Drosophila melanogaster: one gene and its partners. The protein of the gene in region 2 interacts with the protein of the main gene of each other region in a pairwise test. Each region holds a gene or a part of one and is shown on either strand. Other genes may lie near its edges.

Region 1 (7,195 bases), on a different chromosome or scaffold from region 2:
CGAAGAGCATTGGCATCATTTGAGCTACCCCTTTTGTTCAATTGAGAATCCTGAGGGAACTCCTCATGTTGAGAATGTACACAATTGGAGGCTTAAGTTTTTTGATTAAATCATATAGTCTGTCAATTTGTAGCAATACGTACTTTTTGATGTTCAATTCCTTGAAAAAGATCCATGTTTCTTGTTCCCCGATCTAAATTTAACTGAGTAATACATAAAGGCCCGTATTAGATTTATGGCACAATCATATTCATCGACAAATGCAAGTACAACTTGGGTGTTTATTGTTATTTCCCGATTATAAAGGTATTGCCGATTGTTGCCTTTTTATACCCTCTTACCCTACTTTATTACTTAATTAACCTACTTACTTAATTAATTGGCTGTGCTTTTAACATTTGCACAGATGAAGTCGGTGGTGAAAACCCAAAAGAGTCAACGGGAGAAAAGACAGCAAAAGACAGGCAAGACAGCCTGTTGACGAGTTATCTTCTATTCTACGAGTGGCGGGTAGATAAAGTCAGAAGGTCAGTAAAGGAAGTTTTAATCGGAAAATAGTAACTCAATTTGTACTTTTTTTGTCGATGAACAAATCCGGATGTTGGCTATATAGCTGGCCAGATAGTGACTGATAAGACAACAAATATTGCACTTGCTTTTGTGCATTACTCAGTTAACGTTATATCGCCGAACAGTAAACATGTATCTGCCCGAAAGAACAGAACATCAAAAAGTACGTATTGTTATTATTATTATTTTAAGAAACTTAATGGTCTTTACGAAAAATCCATTGATACAGATTGAGAGACTATATGACAGCAACAGGGTCAACGCTGAACCAGTAAGTATAAATTGAAGAAAATCACAAATCATCCATTGAATTTTCCTTAGGGTCAAGGCCTTGATTTAAATGAAAAACTAAAGCCGCCAGCCGTGTACATTCTGAATCATGAGCAGTTCCCTCAGGATTCTCAATTGAACAGAAAGGGTAGCTCAAATGATGTCAATGCTCTTCGCAAAACATTCGAAAGCCTAAAATGTCGAGTTGAAGTTATTTCTAACCCAGCGTTGCCGGACGTTAAAAACAAAGTGAAGGAGTGTAAGAAATATGAGCAAACGGTTTTATTCTTAGTAACGAATTTCTTCAAGGGTCTGCAAAACGATTCACCCAGGACGCTGGATTTGTCCTCTTTATCTTGAGCCATGGCGACCGAAAAGAGAAAATCTTGGCATGCGACCACAGGGAATACCACTTGGACGATGACGTCCTTTTTCCCCTCTTTAGAAATCCAACCTTATCTGGCAAGCCAAAAATTTTAATTGTTCAAGCCTGCAAGGGTCCGTTGAGAGCTGACGCGAAAAAAATGAACAACGAACCCTATATTAAGTGTTACAGCTGCTCCGAGGGCTATTTGAGCTATCGCAATGAAAATCATGGTTCGGTTTTCATACAAACCTTGTGCGAGGCAATGGACCAATATGGCCTTACCAGGGACTTTCAGTCGATCTTTAAGCATGTTAAGGCTGAGGTCGAACGAAGGTCAACTATGACAGGGTAAGTTTTACTAGGATAAGCAGTGTGGCAACAGGATGTAACTATATGATGTACTTCCTGCTTTTCTCTGTTTTTCAGTTCGAAACAAGTTCCTTCTGAGGAGTCGCACAACTTCGACAAACCCTTTTATTTTGGAAATTATGCTAAAAACACTTAATGAGTTGAGTTATATATTAAAGAATTTCTTTAAAATATATTTAAGATACTTTCTGGTCAGAGTAAAGTTAAATGACAGATTCAACTGATCCATATATTTACTTTCACTTTGTCAAACTGTAATTTACTGTGTTGATATCTTATCTTTAAATAAATCAATCGAAGCGGAACCCGGAGATAATGTTAAGTGTTCAAGGAAGTGGGTAAGCAAGTGGGTAGGCATTATAACGCGCTTACCTATTTATCAAACTTTATTTACCAATATACAAAATATATCTGTGGACGGCAGTCAACTTAGTGACGAAGCGCACCTGGAATTTACAAAGCTCTGACATGGTTGATTGTAAAAAGTACTGTACAATAGATTTTTTTTTATAATATTTTTAATTTCGAATCCGATTTGCTAGGGATAATCTCAATTTTATTTGAGTTCACCAAAAAATCATGAATGAATTTTACAATTAACTTAAATACTATTGAGATCATAAGCACCTAGAAAAACAGATAGCACAATCCAGACCCACAAGGCAATTTTATTCTTTCTGCGTAAGCTGTTAAACTTCCAGGACGTCTTCGGGATCTCTGACTTCGACATAATACGAGTAGACGACAATCCAGAAGTAGATACCACAGCCTGAAAAGGATGTTCTTTAAGGATGCAGTAACTCACAAAAATAACAACTTACATATATATATTGCAGATCCTGGGACTATTATCTCGCGGTACCGCTCCTCCTTAATCAGCATGTAGATGCAGTACACAAACAGGATCATACAGTTGGTCAGGCTAGTGATCAGGAAGAACATCAGGAGAACAGTTGATCTCTATAGTGGTTTAGCTTGGAGATGGGATCGGCTGCAGTGGGTGCCAAACAGTGGCTGCACTTACGATTAAAGCTCCGCCCAGCAGGAATGTGCAGCCGATACAATGGCAGATTGCCACCGCTTGCTCAATGTGTGCGATGAACTCCTCTAGATGAAGGTGGGATGCATTACCAGGGTGATCATTTAAATGGATCTGCCAGCCCCAAACTTACGACCCGCCAAGTTAAGCACCACTAAGTTAATGATGAAGTCCACGATGGCTATGATGATGCAGGCTCTGCGCAATTTAATGCAGAAACAGCATTTTTTCACCATTTTACAATTTTTATCTAGACAACTCCATAAACTGATTAGAAAAGCAGAGCTACTGTCAGAGAACCACAGTTTATATTACAACTAGTACTGTTAAAAAAAAAAAAAAAAAAAAAACGTAAGACATGGGAACAAACCGTTCTTATAGAGTTTGCCAAATAATAGAAGCTACGTATCTGTTACTTATCTATTAAATACGTATTATCATGACATATTGTGAGCGAATTGCGAATATTCCAGTCGCATTGGTTTCAGTGCATTATGACTTTCATTTCGAGTTGGGGGTTTTTAAGCTAAAAAGCACATTGTGTGCTTATACTACTCGAATATCACTTGGGACTGCCAGCGTTAAAATAAGTAGATAATTTACCGAAATAATGCTTGTTGATTCTACATGTCAGAAATGAATTTAATTTTCATTATTTCACATTTGGTTACTTCTTGTTCGCGGGTTAGTAACCTCTTTATGAAGTTGGCGCCCCATAAATACCTTAGTGTAGATCATGGAACCCAATGACCGTCCCTGGCCGACCAATGCAATGTGCGAGTTACATAATAAATTACAAGTGAACATCGCAATCGAGCATTAAGGCGAATGCTTTTGGCAAATATTGGCCGAAAAGGGGCCGGGAAGACCCAAAAACAGAACGTGACGACGACGGGCCCCTCCCTTTGATCTGGTTTGCCTGTGCAGTTTTCAGTTTCGTTTTCATCAGCCGAATTTCGGATACGAACCCGAATCGGAAACGGAATCTATGTCCACACTGGGCATCGAAAACGAAATCGAAATGGGCACAGTGCGCCAGCTAATTTGTATGCATCGCGCATTGCTGGCGGGGATTGAAGAGCTGCGCGTAACGCGATTGGGAAGCCATCGGAAATATTATGCAAGGGCGGGGGAGCTACGCATTGCTGAGGTGGCGGATTCATATAAAACACTCGATTGACCTGCAGCAGTAGCTTCATTCGCAGCCGAACCATCGACATCAGCATGCAGACGCAGTGTATCCTCCTTCTCTTGGCCGCCAGTCTGGCCATATGTGTGGCGCGTCCGGAACCACCTAGATCGCGTTACGGACCGCCGCCACCGCCGGCTCCCCAAAAGGAATACGGTCCTCCGGCCCCGGCAGCACAGCCTCTACCCGTTTACGGACCACCAGCCGCCTTCTACGGACCACCAGCCGCCTCGGAGGCGCTCGTGACCAAGAACGTGTACGTGCATGTGCCGCCAGAGGAGCCAGAGTTCTATCCGGCCTCGTCGCCCATCCAGACGGCCGTTCCCAAGAAGCACTACAAGATCATCTTCATCAAGGCGCCCAACCCTCCGACCCCTGTGCGCCAGGTGCTCCCTCCTCCGGTCCAGGATGAGCACAAGACCCTTGTGTATGTTCTGGTCAAGAAGCCCGAGGAGCAGCAGCCCGTCATCCTGCCCGCTCCAGAGCCCACAGAGCCCAGCAAGCCAGAGGTCTACTTCATCAAGTATAAGCAGCAGCAGGCCAAGCCGGCCACCCAGTACGGCCCACCACCGTCCGCCCCATCCGAGGAGTACGGAGCACCACCTGCCCCCCGCACCGTCGAGCAGTTCTAGTTTGTAGTGTCGTCTAGGTCTACAGCCCATGAATGTAAATATTATTTATGATCGCTGCCATTAAAGAGAGTTTAGAGAAAGCAAAATCAGCCGGATCTTAAAGTCCTTGGGATATTGATGAAAAAATTATTATAGCGGTTACAGTATTTCATATTACTACCTTGAAGTCATGAGCGCTCCATTCGTTGCGGATCCAGAAATCTTGAGATACGATCATCAATCAGTGCATCTTAACAAAGGCACTCGATATTTTTTTTATTTACCAGGAGCACGCATTGAATACAAATGAGGTTACTGCGCAAGTTATTGGGTACCGATAATTGGGAAAGCAATAATTTATATTGCTCAATTATGCATTACTCGTTATTAACGTCGAATACAATATTCAACTTTCAATTTGTTTATTTGGTTACTTAGGTCAAGATTGCAAAAGCGCATTGAACAATGGATTACAACATGGATTTCCCTTAAAATTGTTAAAAATGTATGTAAAGCGTTAAAAATATTTATCATTATTGCAAGATGTTGCAGAAAAAGAAAGTAAAAATTGACCGGAAATTGAAGATATTATGGTTAGATAATTTCCAAATATACTATATGTTTGCCAAAAAAGGTTATAAATTACTTTATTTTATATCCAAAATGATAGAACATTGAAAGAATAAATTTTATAAGGACCAATATTTAACAATATACTGTAAAATTTACAAGCTCACGCGTCCTTTAAGCGATCATAATAGGAGTAGACCACCAGCCAAAAGTACAAGCCTAGAACTGGAAAAGGATTTGGCCAAGTTGAACATTGTGCCGAAATATTGAATGCAACTTACGGGATTGAAGAATATCGAAAACTAGATATTCATTCATGATGCCCTCTGTGGCTACAAACACGCCCTCGGCAACTAAAATGAAGAACCGCAGGCAGGAAACTGAGAGGTAAGGCAACAGAAAATATCTCAGGCCCTGTAATTAGACAGCTTTATATTGTCCACCAACCAAAATATTACGGATCCCTACCAGAACTGCTCCCAGCAGTAGAAAAATGCAGCAGATAACGTAGATACCGCTCACCACAAGGGAAAAAAGTCCCAGCAGGCTGTCACCTAAGAAAGCCAGTTATATCTTAGCTATTCCTATGCTCAGGACCACTCACGATCAACAAAGAAGCGATCTAGTCCACGTATTAGCACCTCAACGATGGCTATCAGGATGCTTCCGCACTTCAGATCCACGCAGCAACAGCAATTGTCCGAGTAGATCATTTTCGTTTCTTTTTGGGGGGTTTCTAAGCCAATTTCGGATACGAACTGCCTGGCCAACTGACTTACAATAGCAGGTAATTATGATGAAGTCTTTAATTCGGAGCACGTTTCATGTTCCAATGCTTGCTGCATAATTAATCGGCTTGCGTAGCTTAGACCAATTAAGGTCAATGCCACCAAAGTGCAGTGCAATCGGTGGTCTATATTTCACATTAGAACTAGTGCGATTTTAATCGAACACGTTATCAAACTAAATTAATTGATTTGTTTAAATACTGTAATATTATTATCTTTTACATTCATTTGAATATCAAAAACATTAGTGGAAATTCTTTAAAATACTTTAAAGTCTAAGAAATATGGTTTAAAGAGGGGAAAACTACATCTTAATGCGTTATAACACTACTAGAATGAGGCAACTTATTCAGGGAGTAAACCACTTTGTAGTGCTGGGGTAACAGCAGTTTGAAATCCTTGCCCAGAAAGGTGCATCAAATATCGACAAAATTACACATATATTTATTAAAAACTCTATAGCAAAGTTAATGTACAAGAACCAAAGCTCTTTGCATCTTGTCAACTGCAGAAACTCAGGACTCGCAAGCTGGAGAATGTAGAGTAATATGTATTTGTGGCTCATCCTAGCCTAAGCGCTTTTAAATGCGAGGAGACTTATTTCTAGCCCAGTAAACGCAATGATTTTATAGTCAGCCTACAGCGGACTTTCGTCTGCGGGTCCGCCGAACTCCTCGCCCTAGGGGAATCGTCCTCCGTTGTTGAAGTTGTTTGGAGGCGGACGACGAATGGGACGACGGTTGCGGGTCCGTTGCGCAAAGCGATTGTTATTGGCTGACATCTGGTTTTGCTGAATGTTTCCCGGCGACGTGTCCCGTTGCCAGACAATCCGCTGCGGACGGTTCTGGCTGTTGGGACTGCCACCCCTCATGGCGCGATGTCCTCGTCGGGTGGGCACCGCACTACGCAGCGTGCGAAATCGCGTGTTCTCCGACGGTGAAGTGGCCTCCGCCTCCCGACCCTCCTCCTAAAAAGAAATGGAGAGCAATCAATTTAGGATTCAGTTGGTGCAGATTGGTCTTGGTTTGGATTACAACAGAAACATTACATCCATTCTTCAGTATTTAATATTCCATGCACTCCATAAGTGGGGTGAACTACAAATCATATCCCATGGGGTTAATTACATTCAAAGCAACGTATTTCCATGCAGGGTCTCATCGGGACCAACCTGCTTTTCTCCACAGCTATCTTGCCACCAATGCAAGTACTACTTACCTCAACACCCACCGCCTGCTTTTCACCCTCGGAGGAGACGCCGTCGGCTCCCTCGCTGTCCTCGGTGGGGTTTCCCTCGCCAAGATTGGCTTGGTTGTGGGACACCTCCGATTGGCTAGTGCCCACATTTGGATCTGGATAAAATTGAGTGCTTAGTTTTCCAATCCATTTACACTATTTATTATAACATACTATCATTTCCTA
Region 2 (9,055 bases):
GGAATGCATTGTAACGTCGAAAAAAGAAATTTGATTAAAACATGATCTCTGAAGGTAAAACCTACGCTGAAATTGGTCGCATTGTCTGTTGTTCAAACAAAATGATCCGCAACGCGCTGATGTTTGTCGAAAAGAACGAAACACAGCGAAGAAAGCCCTCAGTGTCAAACGTGGAGATCAAGCGCTTGGTTCGGCAAAGCAAGAAGGAGCCTTTTATGCCGGCGATGGAACTGAACAAGGAGATTCAGATAGCTGCAGAAAAGTCGAATATGCCAAGATACACAAGGACTGGCATGTGGAGAAGTGGCGCAACATTTTGTGGTCAGATGAGAGCAAAATTGTGTTGTTTGGTGGGAAAGGCTCTCGGTCTTATGTTCTTATGTCCACCACGAACTGAAAATTATCCTCGCTTCACCTTTAAGGCGGTAAAGCACGGGGGATCAAACATCGTGGTATGGGCGTGCTCTTCAAACTATGGAGTAGGTCCGATCCATTGAATTCAAGGCATCATGGATCAGCACATTTACACAGATATCCTGGAAAATGTAATGCTGCCATATGCCGAGGATGAAATGCCGTTGGTTTGGACATTTGAACAGGATAACGACCCAAAACACACGAGCAAGAAAGCTTGAAAGTGGTTTGAGCAGAAATCGATCCGAGTTATGAAATGGCCTGCTCAGTCACCCGACTTGAATTGCAATCGAAAACCTTTGGGCGGACGTGAAAAAAAGGTTTCTAAAGCCAAACCCAATAATAACGAGGAACTTTGGGGTGTGGTCAAGGATTCATGGAGCAAAATTCCTCAAAAACGGTGCCAGGACTTGGATTCCATGCCAAGACGATGCGCAGCTGTCATTGCCAACAGCTCTTCAGATATAATCCATTTGTTGAATTCTTTTTTTTATTTAGTTTTAGCAAACTACTACAGTGCTATTTTTGTTACCGCCCAAATTTGAAGGCGAAGGCGAGGCGAAGGACGTCGGATTGGTCGCAACGGTCTTTGAACCGGAGCCCGGCTACATCGCAAATTTCAATGGAAGGAATGTCAAACTGCAGACGGATTTCGGAGTCGACAAAACATTCACCCATTGCAAGGCGATGGTGTACAACGTACAATACGAAGCGGTGGAGAGGCTTGGCACAGAAGAATTGATGTTGGACATACCTCGGGTAGAGACGATTAAGAGAAACAGGACAACCCACCAGTTGGGAATACAACAGCTGAGGATGGAGGATATGGAAACAAAAATGCAGATCAACAAATTACAGTGGGAAACCACGATCCAAACAACAAGGACTTACACGATGCTCGATATACTACTGATAGTAGTATTTGTCGTCGCATGTTTCCCAAAGAACACAACAATTTTCACACCAGAGACTACACCACATGCCACCTTCACACCCACTATAGCTACACCTGCTACGGTACCAGTAACTATATATCACCAAGTACATTGTTGCGGCCCACTTAAACGCTAAAACATAGTATCAACAAACATCCGAAATGCTGCATCGGCGACCACTTGAACGCTGAGTCTTTGTCGATTAGCACTGGAGATTCTGAATCGATCTAAGCATCGGGGCCACTTGACGACACAGAATCGCATCCGCTCCACTTCTAGTTTACGGTCGTAAATGTACCAATCCAAACTGTAAAGTAGGAGAAAGATATAAAAGAATTCATTCAGATTTTCAACCTCAACTCCAACGGACCTTTCTCTGGGAATCAACATCAAATCAAAGTCTCACTTCTATCTCCTGAACCTACACAAGGAGTTAACTCGCGCAAAACCGATACACACTTAAAACAATGTTTTGATTTTTTTGTCTTGCAAGCTATTGGGAAAAATATTTTGGCCACGCCCACAGAACGCAAAAATCCGTCATTCATATTCTTTGTGCGAACTACTTTCTGGTTATAGTATAAATGTATACTCAAACAGTAAGCAATAAATTGTATCTCCAAAACTTATATTTTTTAAATATGAAAACGCCTTGATGAGGGTAAAATCAAGAGAGCATATTCAATAATAAAAGTGCTGACATAAAATGTATACTATTTACTTATTCGACACGCTTGAGTGGATATTGGTCGTGTGCTGAAATCCTGCACCGCTGATGAATTCAATATGTAGGATAAGATACAATAGAATCCTTAACCTACATTATCACAGTTTTAGTTCACAATGAAAATCCCTGATTTCAGCAGAAAGAATGGCAGTCGCCGCGGTGTCTGTTGCTCTTCCAGGCCATCCCATACCTTCCATAAAAAAAAGAAAGACGGAAAAGCGTACAACAAAACGACCAAAATGCAGCTTTGTCTCTATATTTAAGCGTTTGTTTATCTTAAGAGTTGGTGAAGACAGGTTATTTAGTGTTGTGAAGCATCGTTATTTATCAATTATGTCATTTGGATACTGCACAATAGAAGGATAAGACTAAGCTACCGGCACTGCTAAAGATAAAATCATATTCTCACATTCACTTAGCTAAGCAAAGTATCATCGTCATCATATTTCGATGGCTAGCAATTAGAATAGAGATAAGGTCTTAGTAGGAGTTAAAGCGCGACATCGTGATGAACATTTTTTTACCTTATTGATATCAGCACTACGATGCTTCAACATTTATTAGAACTGACAGCGAAGAGACACAGACATAGGAACAGACCGAAATTAACTCGTAAAGGAATCTTTTATTTCCTGCTATTCTACAAGCAGGCCTAGCGAATCACGTAGTTTTCACCTTTTATACCCGTTATTCGTAGAGTAAAAGAGTATACTAGATTTATTGAAAGGCATTTAACAGGTACATGAAAGCGTTTTCGACCATGTAAAGTATAACTAACTAATCCAATCTCTCTTCACAAAATCCGAATTACGCGTAGTTCTTAACTCTACACGCATTGCCAACACATCTTGGAGACCCACTCCAGTCCACACACATCAATACTAATGCACACCGCATTAGTACATCTGTACGCTTCCGTTATTCCTGCACAAATCTACTTCCCCCGCTCCTACCAGCGACCAGACTACGTTCGGCAGAAACTGTAGCGGTTCTCTGCCGCGCATCAAAAGAATAGAAAAGGCGCCTGCATGGCGCGTGCCAAGCAGAAACGCGCAATTACTAGAAATGTCGTTACAATTAAATGATCTGCGACATATACATATTCTTCATCAGGATTAATAGCGAAGTCCGTCCGTATGAACGTCGAGATCTCAGGAACTATTGAAGCTAGATAGTTGAGATTAAGCATACAGTTTCCAGAGATACAGACGTAGCGCAAGTTTGTTGATTCATGCTGCCATACCCACTCAACCGAACTGGCCATGTCCATCTGTCCGTATGAACTCCTTGATCTCAGGTACTGTAAAAGCTAGATTATGCATGCAGCTTTCAGAGAAGCTCACGCTCTTTCAAAATGTTTTGATATATTTAATATTTATATTAGTCTTGTAAATTTCTATTGATTTGCAAAAAAAACCTTTTGGCACTCCGACAAACCGCCCACTCAAAATGTTTTGATTTTTTTCATATTTTTATAAGTCTTGTAAATGACCTAAACTGCCACGTCTACATTTTTGGAAAATGTGTTGATTTTTCATCTTTTTACTGTTTATGTCTACTGATATACCAGAAAAACTTTTGCCACGCCTCTGCATGCGCCATACAATTTTTTAATTTGATTTAATTTGATACTCGGACTAACGGTTTTAGTTATATTATCGATTTTCCTTAACAAATTGTGAAAATTCTTGTTCACAATATCATAAGCTGCTAAGCGGGAATCTAATAGTAGATTAGCTTCGATGCTTATTTTATATCCAGTATATTTTGAGCTCAAGTCAGTAGAAAGGTATTACGTTTTCAACGAAAAGCAATCGGTCCATATTGAGTATTCCTTCGTATCTCCATAGAAATTAACAGTGTGAAATGAGTATTTAGAACATTCTAATAACTATTCTTATTATGTTATAATTAATATATTTGATGAAATATAATTATTTTGGAACAAACTTTGTGTTTTAAAAAGTAAATAAAAAAGTTTTTTCAGTTTTATTCTTTATTTGTCAAGTAAACAATCAGATATATAACGAAACTATTTATTTTTATTCATCGCTGTCCGGCTTTGCACCTAGAGCCTTTAACACGCAAACGAACTTTCAAATATGTTACTTATTAATATTGTAGTGCCAACAGAGCATCTCTTTGTCCTCAGTAAGTGCTGGAAAACGGACCATTGAGTGATGCTCTACATTACTCACCATTGTTAGTTAAGTCTGTGTGTTTATTTTATTATGGGATTGGTTTGGGCAGTGAAGAATTACCACTGAAAAAACTGATACAATATTATCATTGAAAGTGGTTGTAAAAATTTTTGCAGTGGGCTTTTAACAGAACGCAAACTTAAATTTTTCCTTGAAAAAGCGGTAAAAACTAAGCCGGCGATAGTAGATCCATTTTCCCTACATACGATCAGAACTTACATAGTTTAAATGTCTTCAACCGAAGTGAAGCTATCAAGGCTGCTGATCTTAGCGCAAAAGTTTAACAACTTTTACCTTTCAGGTAAGAAAGCATGTCATGGATTTTAGCATTTAAGACCCGAAACATACATTTATATAGTTCAAGTGAATTATCGATTACTTATTCCATATGTAGGCAAACAAAATATACATAAGTATTAAATAACTTAGGAAGGTTTGCAATGGCTGTCTCGTTGATGTGGTTGTACATACGTATGTATGAGTCTCAAATAACTATTTGTGTTGGAAGGAGGAAGGGTTATGAGCAAGATCAGTTTTACAAATTTGCACACACAAAACTTACCTGAGTACAAATACACATATTTATAATTCCTTTTATATACACCCTGCAGTTCCACACACTGTCCTTTCATCAATTAATCACCGCTCAGTGAAAATATCGAGCGCCGAATCACGGCGTAATTGTTTATGGAAAAATAGCCATGATTTTAACATTAAAATGTCCTAGGAAATCATTGCCAAGTCGAGCAAAAATCCCTAAATCCTCAATAGTGTTTGAAGAGATACATTTTTATTACTTTTTCATCACTTTTATGGGCCATTTTCATCAACTGTTCATTAATGTAACATCAAAGTTCATTTCATCGTTCTTTTATTACAAAAAATAGTTTTTTTTTTATAATTTGACTTATTATTTAAATTATGCATTATCTTGGAATTGCCTACGGAGTTGCGGCAGTTGTGTTGGAATATTGGTGTACATGTCCGATTTACCTTAAAGTGAAGTATATTAGTATAATGTACACAAAAATGTATTAATTAATTAATGAATTAAATCCGAAAAACTGGCACTAAAAAAATAGCGTCTGCCCCTCACAAAAATATAATATCAAGTGTGCAATTTTGTTGTCTTATTTCTCTTTGCATCTTCCGATGCGAATTATAAATTTAAGGTTTCTTACGATGCCTATGGGCTCGGCGACTGTCGGCTGTGCATTCGAAGCAATTGGATCTTCTGGCGTTTTAGTGATTGTGTGATGTGTTTAGTAGAATGCATTTTGGGATTGCAGTGTATTTATGTACATATGTATGTCCATACTTATGATTAATATACATAAATACATACATACATAGCTTACAATGACGTCTATCTGATGAAGGTGGAGTGATAATTCTCCTTTAAGACAAAAATGTACATGTGTATGTACAAAAGTTCTAAGATTAACTTTTGTGGCAAAAAAGAAGTGTACATTTCCAAACATTTCTTTCCTTCCACCTCCTCCTACCCGTTACTCGTTGAGTAAGAGGTAAAGTATGTTATAAAGCTAAAAAGTTCCCTTTAATATGATAACAAAGCGTTGCCAAAGAGCAATTTCAAAACTCATGTCTAAGTTGGTCGCCGGTTGATGTTAATGTTAGAGAAATTTATTCCTCTTTCCAAATTTTTCTTATTTACACTAGTGGAAATAAGTATTTGGACAATAAATATATTCAATATATTTATATATTGCAAAATATATATTATATAAATCAAAATTGTTTAATAATTTTAGTAAAAAGGTTGACTATCGAAGTTAAATTAGGTAACATAAACATATGGATAACTTCATTGTTGATTTAACAAAAATTACATTTTTACAAATTATCAGTGGGATAAGTACTTGGACAAATTATGTATTTAAATGTTATAAATTGAAAAGAAAAAAGTCAACTAAAAATTTTAACAAATTAATAAAAAATATACCCTCCCTAAGCGTCACCTTTTGAAGACGTTTTGGTACAGACTACCAAGCTGTGGATACAATCTATTGAAATATCCTTCTATAAGGTTTGAATTTCCAAAATCGTTTCTTCGCGACTTCTAGATAAGATCATCTAGACATCTAGATTAGATTATTATGTTTTATATATGATCAGAGGTTTTCTATTATGTTGAGGTCTGGACTTTAAAGTGGCTAATCCAATGTGTTTACGCAAGCATCTTTCAGAAACTGCGTAATCAGTTTGGCCCTTTGACAGGGAGCATTATCCTGCTGGAGTATGAAGGACTCTCTAATCAATTTATCACCAGAGGGGAATGCATGATTATTAAGGACATCTAAATATTTTCTTTGATTCATGGTTCCATCAAAGACACTAGAATAACAAGATGCGTAACGGCCATACATTGGTTTGGCACTATGCAGCCAATTTTTTAGTGACGGCCAAAATTGCTCTCTTTCCGCTCGCTCCCGCTGAGAGCATAAGAAATCTAAAAATAGAATTTGCTTGCTTTTGTGAGTAAAAACAAGAGACGAGAACGCGTATATTTGTGCGTGTTGTGCTAGAAGACGATTTTCGGGCCGAAATCAATTCTGATCGAAGAAACGAATTTACATTGTACATATTAGGGTAGTTTTTGCCAATTTCGTAGCAATATGATAAAATAAAATAATTTTTAAAAATTCGCGCCCTGACTATTATAATTTTAAAGCTTTTTAAATTTGTTTGTTAAAATCGCCGCTCGAATTAGCTACCGTTTACACATTTATATTTATGTTTAATTCTAATTTGTCTCTCATCTGACAATATTTTAAAAGCGAAATATTTTTTTTGAAACACTTTTAATGTTAATGTTACATCATATTAAGTCAAATGATTTAATAAATATACTAAATAATTAAATATGATAACTGTTTATTGCAAAACGTAATATCAAAGACACTACAATTATTCTAGTGTCTTTCCTTGGTTCATATCTTGAGGCACGAAGTGCGGACACAAGCACTCAACAATCATTGCCTTATTAATTTTTCACACGCCGCAAGATGAATACTCTAATGACAAATATTCTTATATAAAGTCATTTTTGAAATTTATTTTTGTGATAATATGTACATAGATTTGACTATTTCTAATCTATTTTCAAATAATAATAACGTTAAGGCAATGCAAAACAAGAATTTTTCGCCAATTGATCAAAAATAATATAGATTTAAAGTCAAAGAACTTCTAAGGTGAAGGGCATATTTTGTCAAATTTACAATGCATGAGCATACGTGTGCACACATACAGTTGTCTGCTATCACTTTGTGCGTTGAAAAGAGCTGTTCGCTGTAGCGCTCTTCGCTCTCTCGCTCTCTAACAAAAATTCGAGAGAGCCTGGAGCCACCTCTAGAGCCACGGCCAAAAAATCGTGTGCCAAAAAATCGTATGGCGTTACGCATCTTGTTATTCTGGAGTCTTTGGTTCAACCTTGATGGACTGGATGGTTATAATAACTACTTCCTCGATGTGAGAAAGGAAGAATTTTTCTTAAGTCCACATCACATCCACAGTGCAGGTGGAGGAGCCGTATCTTTTTATGGAACATGCGGGTATGAATGATATTGCTCCCATCCATACCTGGGGTTATAAAACCGTGGATTTAGGATCAAAATGTCAAATTGCTCGAGTGGCTGCCTATTACTTCCCTGATATCAACATCATCGAAAACATTTGGGGACTCTTGTTAAGGAGAGTATTCGAAGGAGGAAGACAATTTAGGGACTCTGGTACTCTAGTTGGTCAAGAATATCAATGAGTAACAAAAAAAAACAAAAGAGAATAATATAGTCGAGTTCCGTTAAAAAATATCAAAACATTTTTAAAGTGTATGGGCGGCGCAGTTTTGGGCGGTTTGTAGGCGTGGCAAAATTTATTTAACAAAATTATAGAAATTTTTTAAACTAATAAAATCGTGAACAAATATCAAAACATTTTACAAATGTGTGGGGGTAGCAGTTCTGGGCTGTTTGTGGTCGTGGCAACAATTGGAAACTCGTGCAGCGTCTATGTCTCTGAAGGCTGCATGTTTAATCTCACATCCAAGTTTTTATAGTTCCTGAGATTGAGGCGTTCATATGGGCAGACGGACGGATCGGCTATTGATCCTAAACAAGAATATATATACTTAATATGGTTGGAAACGCTTCGTTCTATCTGATACATACTTTTTAATGAATTAAATATACCCTTGTACTCTACATTGTAAAATTAAAATAAAATTGAAAATATGCTACTTTCGGCGTGTACCCGAAAATGTACGATGAGAAATCGGGAATCTTATTTTTGCCCAATTATCATCATAGAAATTACTTGTATTTGGTCTTGGCTAAATATGATAATTATGTTGTAACGGACGGATTTTCTTGGTCTCGCTACGAGGTAAGAGCGTCTAGCTCAAAAGATTTGTAATAAACGTTAACACCCGCTTGCCAGTAACAACACTGCAGTTCTCGTCGCTAGGATTCCTGCACTATCGGACTCGCCGGTCCAACGCCAGGGTCGATTCATGGTGTATCAAGACGTCTTAACATAGCCGTGCTTTATCTTATTGGAAAAAAAATTTTGTAATGCGCGCTTATTTTACGTACTGCTGGTCCACTGCGCTTGAAAGAGAGGTTTAAGTTTTAATACCACAAGCTTTAAGCTGGTCTAAAAGTTTAGCCGGTCTCTGAACCGGCTATGCAGAAAACATGAATCCATCACCAAGTAAATCAGAACTGCGCTCTAGTGAAAATGTTGTTACTTTTTCTAAA
Region 3 (9,531 bases), on a different chromosome or scaffold from region 2:
CACAAATTTATTAACATACATATTCATGCAATTCAGTAAGAAAATTTCGCTTGAATATGGGTGAAATTATTACGAAATAACGGTGGTGGTTCAGTTATTTATTAAATAAAAGGATTTTCCTAGTGAAAAATGGTGGATGTTTACCCTTTCGAACTTAACAAGTAGTGCCAACAGTTTTTTTTTTTTTTTTGTAGAAAAATTTTTATAGAAAAAAGGGTGAAAAGTGAGTAACATATTTTTGACAAAATGGTGGCTGTTATTTAAACAATGAAAACTAACAATTGGACAATTACAATTACTTCCTAATTCTAAAATTAATTAGTACTAATTTCTTTCTTTTAATTTCAATGCTTAGTGACATTTTCATGCGCTTTGATGCACCCGATTCGCGGAGTCATGGCCACGTCCTGAAGCATCCGAAGGCCCAGGAAAAGCGATTTGAATCCCAGCGAGGCACGAATCGTTACAAGGGCGAGGTGAGTTGAGCTTGAGAGCCAACTTAATAAATTTCCAGATAATTCGGCAGACTTTCTCCCTCTTAACCACTCGATCGACTTAGGTGATTTGGACAGATCGTCAAGGAGGTCACGGCGAACATCGTTGGGACATGGCGCAGGGAAAACTCTGAGATCAGACCTCGATTTGCATACTCCATAACATTTTTCCCATCCCCCCCAAAAACTCTCTGTACATACCCATGCGAACTCGCATAAATCGTGACTTTTCATAATTTTGCCGTATTATTTATTTAAGGGCAATGATTTGGCGTGAAATTGGAATGAGCACTGCAAAAGATTTGCATACGAATGCAGCTTGCTCAGCTTCTTGTCTTAGGTCATCTTCGAGATGTGAGATTTTCTCACGGCGCTCCGGAAAAGTGGACTGTCCAACCGGTTACACAAGTTCAACGGGCACTGGCTGGGCCATCCAAAAAGGTCAACTGGCGACGGGCCATCCTTTAGCCGGAAACTGGTTCCTCGAAGTGACCCGAATGTCCTGCAGTTACTTACACTTACAGGACAAGACAGTCGATCGGTCGGTCCATCATGCGGGTCGCTCGTTAAGGATATGTAAATGCGTCTGCCAAGAAGCAGGACGAAGGGGTTGAAGATGTGTGAGGGTATTATCTTGTAACCTCGGGGGTTGCACTCGCCTCATTTGCATATCCATCCAAAGACGGCCAAGCAAATGACACAAATGCCCGGCGGCCTGGACTAATGTCCAGTTGTTTGTTGGAATACCAACGGCGTGAATGACCACGCACATGTTCGGGATCCTTGCAGCAGATCAATATTTGATCCCCGAACCTACATATGTAAATGGGTTACAGGCCCTTTGACCCGCTATGCGGGTCATTAGCGAAGCGATCCCGACTGGCTGTCAGTCATCGCACCTCAACTCATCATCTGGAGACTGTCCAGAACCGGTTCGTAATCGCCGGCCGTCTTCTGCTACTTCTTGGGCGATAAGGTCATCAAAGCCGGGGATATTCGACTGCTCAAAGTTCTCACACGCTCGTCTAATTTATGCAAGGACATTGCAGAAGGACACTGCGATGCGACTGCGATGCGAATGCGATTGCTGTTGCTATTCCTATTGCTTTTGTGGCGTGAGTTCCCAAAGGACAACCGGTCTGACCGGTCCAGCCGGGTCCGAATCCGAAGCCGTGTCTTCGGTGACCACGATCCACTGTGAGAACTTCCATTAGATGGCCTTTGTCAGCAACTGCCCGAACGGGTTGTCTTTAGATCTGCCTTTTGGGTGTTGTCACTGGGTTCTTGGTCCGCGTCCTTTCTGAACTTTGCCAATTGCTCGGGGGGTTAGGACATTGATTTATACGCAAATAAAATTTGTTTACCTTCGAGTTGGCAGACATCGGTGTGACCTCAATTTGGGGAGTCTAAGATATTAAGGTTAACAAAAACCGGAAAGAAGTATTGGAAGGAGTTTCAAGAGCAAAGGGATTTGTATTACTCAATCATTGGTGGAGTATTGACCAAAAACGAACTTATCACTTAGCCTCACACAAAAATATTCCATGACACATTTCATGTTTTTTGAAACTTTTAATTTAATATTCTAAACAAGAAAGTCGAACCTAAATGAATGATATAAAATAGAATAATGTTATAATCTCGTGCCAATCGAGTCTCGGCATATTTACAAACTACATGGACTTGCGGAACTTTCAAGAGTGTTTCGACAAGAGTCATCGATCTTGGATGGTCGAATCACCTACTGGTACTGGTGGTACTGTGGCTGCTGCTGTTGCTGCTGGTGCTGATACTGCTGCTTGCTGGGCCCGGAGCTGTACTCCTGCTGGGCCTTGTGCCCTCCAGCGCGGAGCAACTGCGTCGGCGGCGGGGGAGTGGGGATCTTCACCACGATGTCGGTGGGCTCGCGAATGACCTCGGCCTTGAATCCCTCCTTTGGATCAGCCGTGTACTTGACGGTGCGGATGAAGCCATCGGAGTCCACCACCGAGTAGCTACCCTTGATCACCGAACCGTCGCGAATCTCCTTGCGGTTCTGGTAGTTGGTAAACTCGTCGTCCTTCACATCGAATCCAAACTGGTACGAGGAGTTTTGCTAAAAAACATTGTTAGTTAGGCATTAGTTGGGAGATGAGGCTATAACTAAATCTATTACTTAATATGATTTATGAGTAATTAGTAATATAATTGCAAATGCTTTTAGCACTTGTATGATATTAATCTCTTGAAAGGCACTTAAATTTTTTTAATTTCTAAATTAAATGTGATAAAAAGTTATGATATATTTACAGAAAGATATGGGTGCCAGTGAAAACTAATTAAATTGTGCAATGAAAATAGTATCGATTCCAATACACTTTTGCAAAGAAATAAAATCAGATTGGGCACTTTGTGAATGGGGTGGGGCTCGATGGGGACTTTAAATGCGTACTACAACCTGGTGCTGACCCACTTTTGAGGCTGGCCCAAAAAACGTGTCCAGACGCTGGTGTTGCGTCATCGCCCCAAGGCACATTCGCGTAGGCTGTGCAACTCCAAACTCCCAATCCCAGATCACGCACAAGTGAAAGTAATTTGGAGCCGCTTGCATATTTTAATGGTCCGATCGCACGGAATCAAAGTGCCGGTTCGTTGCAGCGGCTGCGGATCACACGATCGATCCGTTGACTGCGGATTATGTTTATGCAACCAGGCGATCGAAGCACCACCACCCATAAAAACCTCGAGGCGTTGGATAATTTATGCACAAGGTTGGTGCGATTTCCCCCTAGTTCTTGTGAGGATCCAATGGCAGCAAGACCTTCGATTGGCCAAGACAATCGGATCTAAGATTGCTGGCAACTGGGTTAAGGTAACAAGAAGATCGTGGCTTTAGAGCGTGGCCACAAATCGATTCCTCGTTCTTTTATTTTAGGTAGCCTTTTAGGCCTGACGTGGACCAAAAAAACAAAGAGCTTAAATGCCCACAGAACTGCAGGCCAAAAATTGGAAAGGCAAAGCCAGTTTGCAAGCCGGTTCTAATGCGTGCCATGTCCATTGGAGCTCATTGTTGTGGGAATTGGGCTCGGAGTTGCAGATCTTATGGTCACGGAGTGGGGATTGGGGTAAATGGGTCGCATTTGAAAGTGATTGTCTGGCGGAGACATTAAGCGGTAAATTGCAATCACTTGTAATGATTAATATAATAGCTCTTACAAATTTGACAATGCTAAGATGTGTTTTAATCATTACATGTGCCGCCACATGATGTTTTCCATTTTCCTAGTGTCTACTAATTTCTTTTGCATTTTAGTTTTAGGATGATGAAATACCAAATTAATTGTCATGTAACTTTTTTTTTTTTTTGACAAAACCCATCAAATCCTGTTTGGGCCATCAATTTTAAGTGGCTAATAGGATGACACACCAACTGAGCACCTTAACCCCATCTCGTTGGCTTGCCGCCGCATTAAGCCTGATGGATTATGGTCACTTTGGTAACGGATATTCGCCAGCTTCCGCATGCAAAGGCCATAAACAATCGCCGGTGGCTAAGTGGCCAAACGGACCGGACCAGGAGCGAACCCGGGCCAATGAACATGCACAATGCGATGCACACACATATGGCCATGGCCAAATCCACACTGTTGCCACACTGAGCGTGGTTAATGAACCCCAAGTCACAGTTGCCCTCCCCCGATCCATCCCCCAATGCCATTGCATGCTTCAATTGTAATTATGTTGTTGTTGTTTTCACTGATGTTGCAGTTGCTGTTGCAGTGAAGCGAAAAGGAAAGTGCGCGAAAGTCCCACTCGAATGTGAGTTCGAACACCAGCTGGGTGCACCGCAAAAAGAGGATCGATTTCAATTTGATATAAAGTATCAAAACGGCTTTGAGTTAAATAATTAAGCTTGTTTCTTTTTTGCAAATTGATTTAAACTGGTTACTTTTAGCTGATCACTGGGTTTCATAGATATCTGTTGATCTATTTGTTTCACATATCTTTTTCATTAATACTTCTTCATATCCGCACCTCATTATTTGTTTGAAAAATGGACATATTGTTTTACGTGTACTGTTAACTTACGTCATCGTATTCCTCCTCCTCGTTTTGCTGCTGCAGCGACAACTTGTGCTGTCCTTTGCCGAGGATCGAAGTGGAAGGAGCCTGGTAGGAGGACTGCTGAATCCTGCGTGGTGGCTGAGGAGCAGCCTGGGCAGGTGGACGGTAGGCGGCCTGCTGAGGCTGATATTGCTGTGAAAAGGTTGTAGATCCAACAATATAGACATCTAGATTATTTGTACAGTAAGTAAGCAAACCCACCTGATAATCCCTGACCGATGGAGCCACGTATCCCTGTTGCTGCTGTGCCCGGATCTGCTCCGCCACCGTATCCTTGATCCTGATCTGCTGGCCAGAGTTCACGTACTGCTGCGTCTGCTCCGAGTTCTGCTCGAAAATGGGCGTGCCATCGTGGGGCTGAGCCTGCTGTTGCTGCTGCTGTTGCTGCAGCTGCTGGTAGTACTGCCTCAAGTAGGCGGGATCCACGCCCTGTTGTCCACTGACCACCACGCCGCAGATGGCCAAAGTGGCCGTCACCAAAAGGAGTTGCATGTTGCTAAGGGTTTACTGGATACTAGATCACACTTGGACGACGGAACGCGGGCACTTGTATTCAAATTCAAACGCTAACTGAAACCTCGACGGAGCCACAATTGTATCTGCGCTGGCTGCGAATCCAAATTGCACTTTTATATCGGCAAACGACAAACGACGAGCGGCAAGCCAAACGACGGCTCTCTCACGCTCTTATTGGCCATAATGCGACTCTCTTGGCTGATTTACAACAGCTGTTTTTTTGGGTGGCCAAAAGACCCCAACTCGGTTGTCACTTCCGTTCGAATCACAGTTCCTCTACCCTCGACCTGGGCCATTGTTAAAGGTTTTTTCCCTACTTTTTTTTTGTAACCCTACGTGATCTCGGCCAACAGCTGTTAACTTGGCCAAAAAAAAAAAAAAGAGGAAGCTGACTAGCATTGGAAAACTTTCCCGAATTTATCATTGCAACAGCTATGCACTCACACACTTTCGAGGGCATGCAGTGCCCACGAGCAAATGTAAATTGCATTTGCAGTTTACTCCTTCGACATGCATGTCTATATAATATAGCTATATCTATATTCCACGCAATTCTCTTGATGGCTTCCCATTAGATAATCATGCCCAATTAATCGCTTGGCTCTTGGAGAAGAAGAGGTCAATGCGATCGGAGGAGGGCCACACCCGAGTCAAAAATCGAACCCAGCAAGTGCATTGTTGCTGACCCAAATTCGACTAAACGTTTTTCTATGTATCCATCTATCTGTGAATAGCTAGCTATCTATATATGTATCTGCCTATCTGTATCTGAATCAGACGTTGCGTTTGCGTTGCGGTTGAATGGGTTCAAGCGATCTTCGATGTCGCCGATTGCCAAATCTTCTCTTTTTTTTTCTGCACTCCCAAGCCCTTTGCATATACGATCTTTGCGATCATGTGATGGTGGCATTAAGCCCCATAAGTCCTCCTACAACATTTGATACGTGATTACAATTGCCACAGAGCACTCTTTTGCGTATGGTTCATGAGATACGCCCTGAATTTGCATCGATTCGCAGTCGACAAGGTCGTTTCGGGGGAGTCGAAAACGGGGCATTAAATGTGGGGCTGACCGTTTAATGGGATCGCGCTGACATTGTAACAGCTTTGAAATAAAGCAAAATAGTACACAATCGAAAGAAAAACCAACCACATTTGTGGCTTACTTAGCCGTGAAGTGAAAGTACATTATGTGTTGCAGACGATTGTTATGCACATTACACACGTACACACACTCGAGTGACTTATTTCCATTCAAATTAAAGTCAAATTTATGGGTACGCTCATTTCTCGGCTCATGTGTGCATATAGTTTCAATATAAATACGTTTAATTGCCGGAATGATTGATGGAATAAGTGCAAATCTGCAGCGTCATGTTATGCAAAGATTTTTGGCTACTTCTTTTTGACTTCGGTTTGCTATGGTTTTGAACTGGGTTTGGCCCTACTTAATGTTTTAAAAGAAGGCAGGCTGACAGACAAAAGAGCTCGTCATATTCAAATTATTGTGATACAATTACGTTGTCGGCATGTTGAAATGTACGATTCAAAATATATTGCACTTTAAGCGTAAATTTCAGGTGCAAATGCCTTTAAATTACATAATAGTTCCACGTCATATGATCACACTTGATATATAAAAATCTGATTCATACATATGTACGTAAATTAGCTTGCTTATATTTATAACACATAATGCACACACATTTCTTTCATCCAATCAAAGTCACTTTTATTAATTAAAACATTCTTAATACCTATTACATTCCATGACTAGAATCACTCGGTATTAACACGCCTGACTGGCTGTTAACTTAGAATCAGCATAACATAAACATAACTATAAACCAAATTTTACTTTCCTTTTTTTTTTATTTAATTAATTTATATACGTTTTCTATTGCATATGCAGACAGTAATTAGGTTGAGGCGGCGTTAAGTGGTGTTTATATCGTAAATTTATTTCGATGCCAATTGATTACCAATCCATTATATCATCAAGCTTGTTAGTGGTTCACAATTTCTTGTCGTTCTTCATATAATTTATTGAGTAAGTTAAACAGAATTTCATAAAAATCCGCTAAATATGTTAGGAGATAAAACAAGTGCAGCAGATGTTGCCGATGTTGCGTTGATGTTGATGTTGCTGCTGTCGCTGGTGTTGCAGCTGCACTTTCTAGTACTCGGTGGCACCAATCACGCTGTACATGAGACGATTGAAGGAGCCGCTCTGGCGTATGTTCTCATCGTGGGTGTTTACCACCTGTTCACCCATCATAAGACACATCATTAGTATAACATTCAGTTAACAGTGAATAAATCCGCGCTACTCACATTGTACGGCGGCCGGGATACTGGCGCTGATACTGGTTTCTGTAATAGCATTTGGATGGAGTGAACAGATAAGATATAGCTTAATAACTCTGGCTAAATCCAGCAATTTCGGTTAAAAACTTTTTAAATGCAATATTCAACTGTTATGAGCTTCGGTTAGATGTTATTATTCCGTGTTAGAATGCCAAAAAGATGTGTGCTTCTTGTGATTTGGAAAATATACACATATATGGAGTTAATGGATGTGTTTAGTGTAGTTCGATGCCAGCAGATGATCGATCGACCAAAAAATCAAGTTAGTAACACTACTTCGGCCCCGTTAGTCGTCGTTACAGCGCGTTTACATGCCGCCAGACAAGGACACACAGACACTGTTGACTAACATTCGGTTGGATCAACTGTACACGTTACATTGACACGAATAGAGAGACAGCGAGCGAGATAGAAACAGAGAGAAATAGATAGACTTTGTACAGGATGAGCTTGAGAATCGAGCGATATTGTCGGATGCCTTCACATAAAGTTTTAACTGAGTTCGACTGATTCGAGTTGATTGAGAGATTTGCTTGATTTTCGAACGGTTGCGCACGATCTTACCTTTCCTGGAACCAATCTATTGGGCTGATAGACCTTAGTCTGCACAGGAATGGTCACTTCCTGTGGCGAGGATTGGCCATAGTTGCTGTAGCCGCCCTCTTCTTGAATGGCTCTGTAGGTTTCGCTGTTCCTGGGATCGTACTGGACAGTTTTCTTATAGCTGCTCGTTGGCAGTGGTCAGTGATTCGGGTTCCGATTGAGATTAAGTTTCAGTAATTCGGGGGTTTGCATTGAGATCGTTGAAAGCGCCGTTATTTTGGTCAATTATTCGTTGGATTTTTTGTTTTGGTGTTACGCAAGTTTTAAAAGATTTATTTATTTTAATTTGTTTTATTGTTGTTGGTTAATCGAGATTTATAAAAAATATGTTGGTTTTTTTGTTTTTGATTTTTTTTTACATCGGTTGAGTAGCGTGAGACAGAGTAGTGAGAGAATAGAAAGAGAAAACAGGATGTGCACAAAATACGTTAGAATTATTTTGTTTTTGTTGTAGTTGTTGTTGGTTGTTGCTGTTGTTGTTGGGCAATAGGTGTGCTTTGTTGTCTTGGAACTGCACACTCCTCAAACGGATTGCGATTAATAGGAAACTCATAAACAAATTCCTTACAATCTAGTTATTATTATTATTAAGAGTAATCAAACAGAACTGCATAACAAGGTGCGAGATTATATTGAGATTATCATGTATGTATATCATCGGATGAGTCGAAGCCTTGAGATCGGGCGGGATTAGGGTGGTTAGTTAGTCTCGTTCGGTTAATACTGGATGGGTTGCGATAGCGATGGGGATCAAGAATAGGAACTTTCAGTGCTGTCTTTCAAACAGTTCGTAAATATAATTCAGCAAACGTCTTTTAGTTTCGGATTAGTCTTTTGGGGTGGTGGGTCGGAAAGAAGTGTGGACGGGAAGGACTTTTAGCAGGGGTCTTGGGAAAGGGTATTTGGCTCATAGTCTATTAGAAGTGGGTTCAGTTTTTGGCTACTATTTGATTGATCATTTGTTTTGTTGATAGAGTATTTGCAGTTGATGCTGGCGTTGTTGACGTTGTTGCTCTGCCAGTTGGTCTTTTTGCTTTTGTTGCTCCAGAATAATACGTTTTTGTTCCAGGAAAGATAGATCGATGAAAATTCTAACATTAATCGTGCAGCTATGTTCTAAGCATATCAGAAACTAAGAGCTAGAGTGGTAGAGTGGTCTAGGGTTCGTTTATTTGTTGAACTTGGTTAATCTATGGAAACAGCACCTGATCTACCCACTGAAAACTCTTACCGATGCACCTACGCCACTTTTGCCATACCTTAAACTTACATATGTCCTAAAAACCAAAACTGAAAAGCCTCAAGACAAACAACGTTCGCTGGGGGTTTCGGTGAAGATCATTTCCAGAAATACACATATTTACATAGCATGATTTCCTAAGCGCAGACTCAGATCATTTGAGCTTTTCTTTGCAATAGGACGTTTTTAGGAAGAAGAAAAAAAAGG

What was found.
Region 1: the proteins of CG12567 (region 2) and Twdlbeta interact in a two-hybrid assay, tested with the Drosophila melanogaster proteins (one large-scale study listed by BioGRID).
Region 3: the proteins of CG12567 (region 2) and Cpr66D interact in a two-hybrid assay, tested with the Drosophila melanogaster proteins (one large-scale study listed by BioGRID).

The regions. Positions count from the first base shown.
Region 1 is NT_033778.4:11,859,860-11,867,054, reverse strand, and holds Twdlbeta (tweedlebeta), read left to right. Parts: upstream 1-3,802; 5' UTR 3,803-3,839; coding exon 3,840-4,436; 3' UTR 4,437-4,518; downstream 4,519-7,195. Other genes in the region: Damm (death associated molecule related to Mch2 caspase), read left to right, coding at 701-733, 800-841, 892-1,099, 1,150-1,555, 1,634-1,712; CG42531 (uncharacterized protein), read right to left, coding at 2,266-2,345, 2,398-2,536, 2,601-2,683, 2,749-2,851; CG34230 (uncharacterized protein), read right to left, coding at 5,149-5,210, 5,267-5,399, 5,454-5,539, 5,590-5,698; Mgtor (megator), read right to left, coding at 6,453-6,740, 6,992-7,125, 7,184-7,195.
Region 2 is NT_033779.5:23,169,585-23,178,639, reverse strand, and holds the start of CG12567 (uncharacterized protein), read left to right. Parts: upstream 1-4,247; 5' UTR 4,248-4,505; coding exon 4,506-4,578; intron 4,579-4,686; exon of another isoform or gene 4,687-4,717; coding exon of another isoform or gene 4,718-4,748; intron 4,749-5,174; exon of another isoform or gene 5,175-5,270; intron 5,271-5,458; exon of another isoform or gene 5,459-5,567; intron 5,568-9,055.
Region 3 is NT_037436.4:8,636,113-8,645,643, reverse strand, and holds Cpr66D (cuticular protein 66D), read right to left. Parts: upstream 5,206-9,531; 5' UTR 5,091-5,205; coding exon 4,800-5,090; intron 4,731-4,799; coding exon 4,563-4,730; intron 2,590-4,562; coding exon 2,236-2,589; 3' UTR 2,060-2,235; downstream 1-2,059. Other genes in the region: CG13305 (uncharacterized protein), read left to right, coding at 356-476, 560-628; Zasp66 (Z band alternatively spliced PDZ-motif protein 66), read right to left, coding at 7,291-7,377, 7,449-7,487, 8,046-8,205.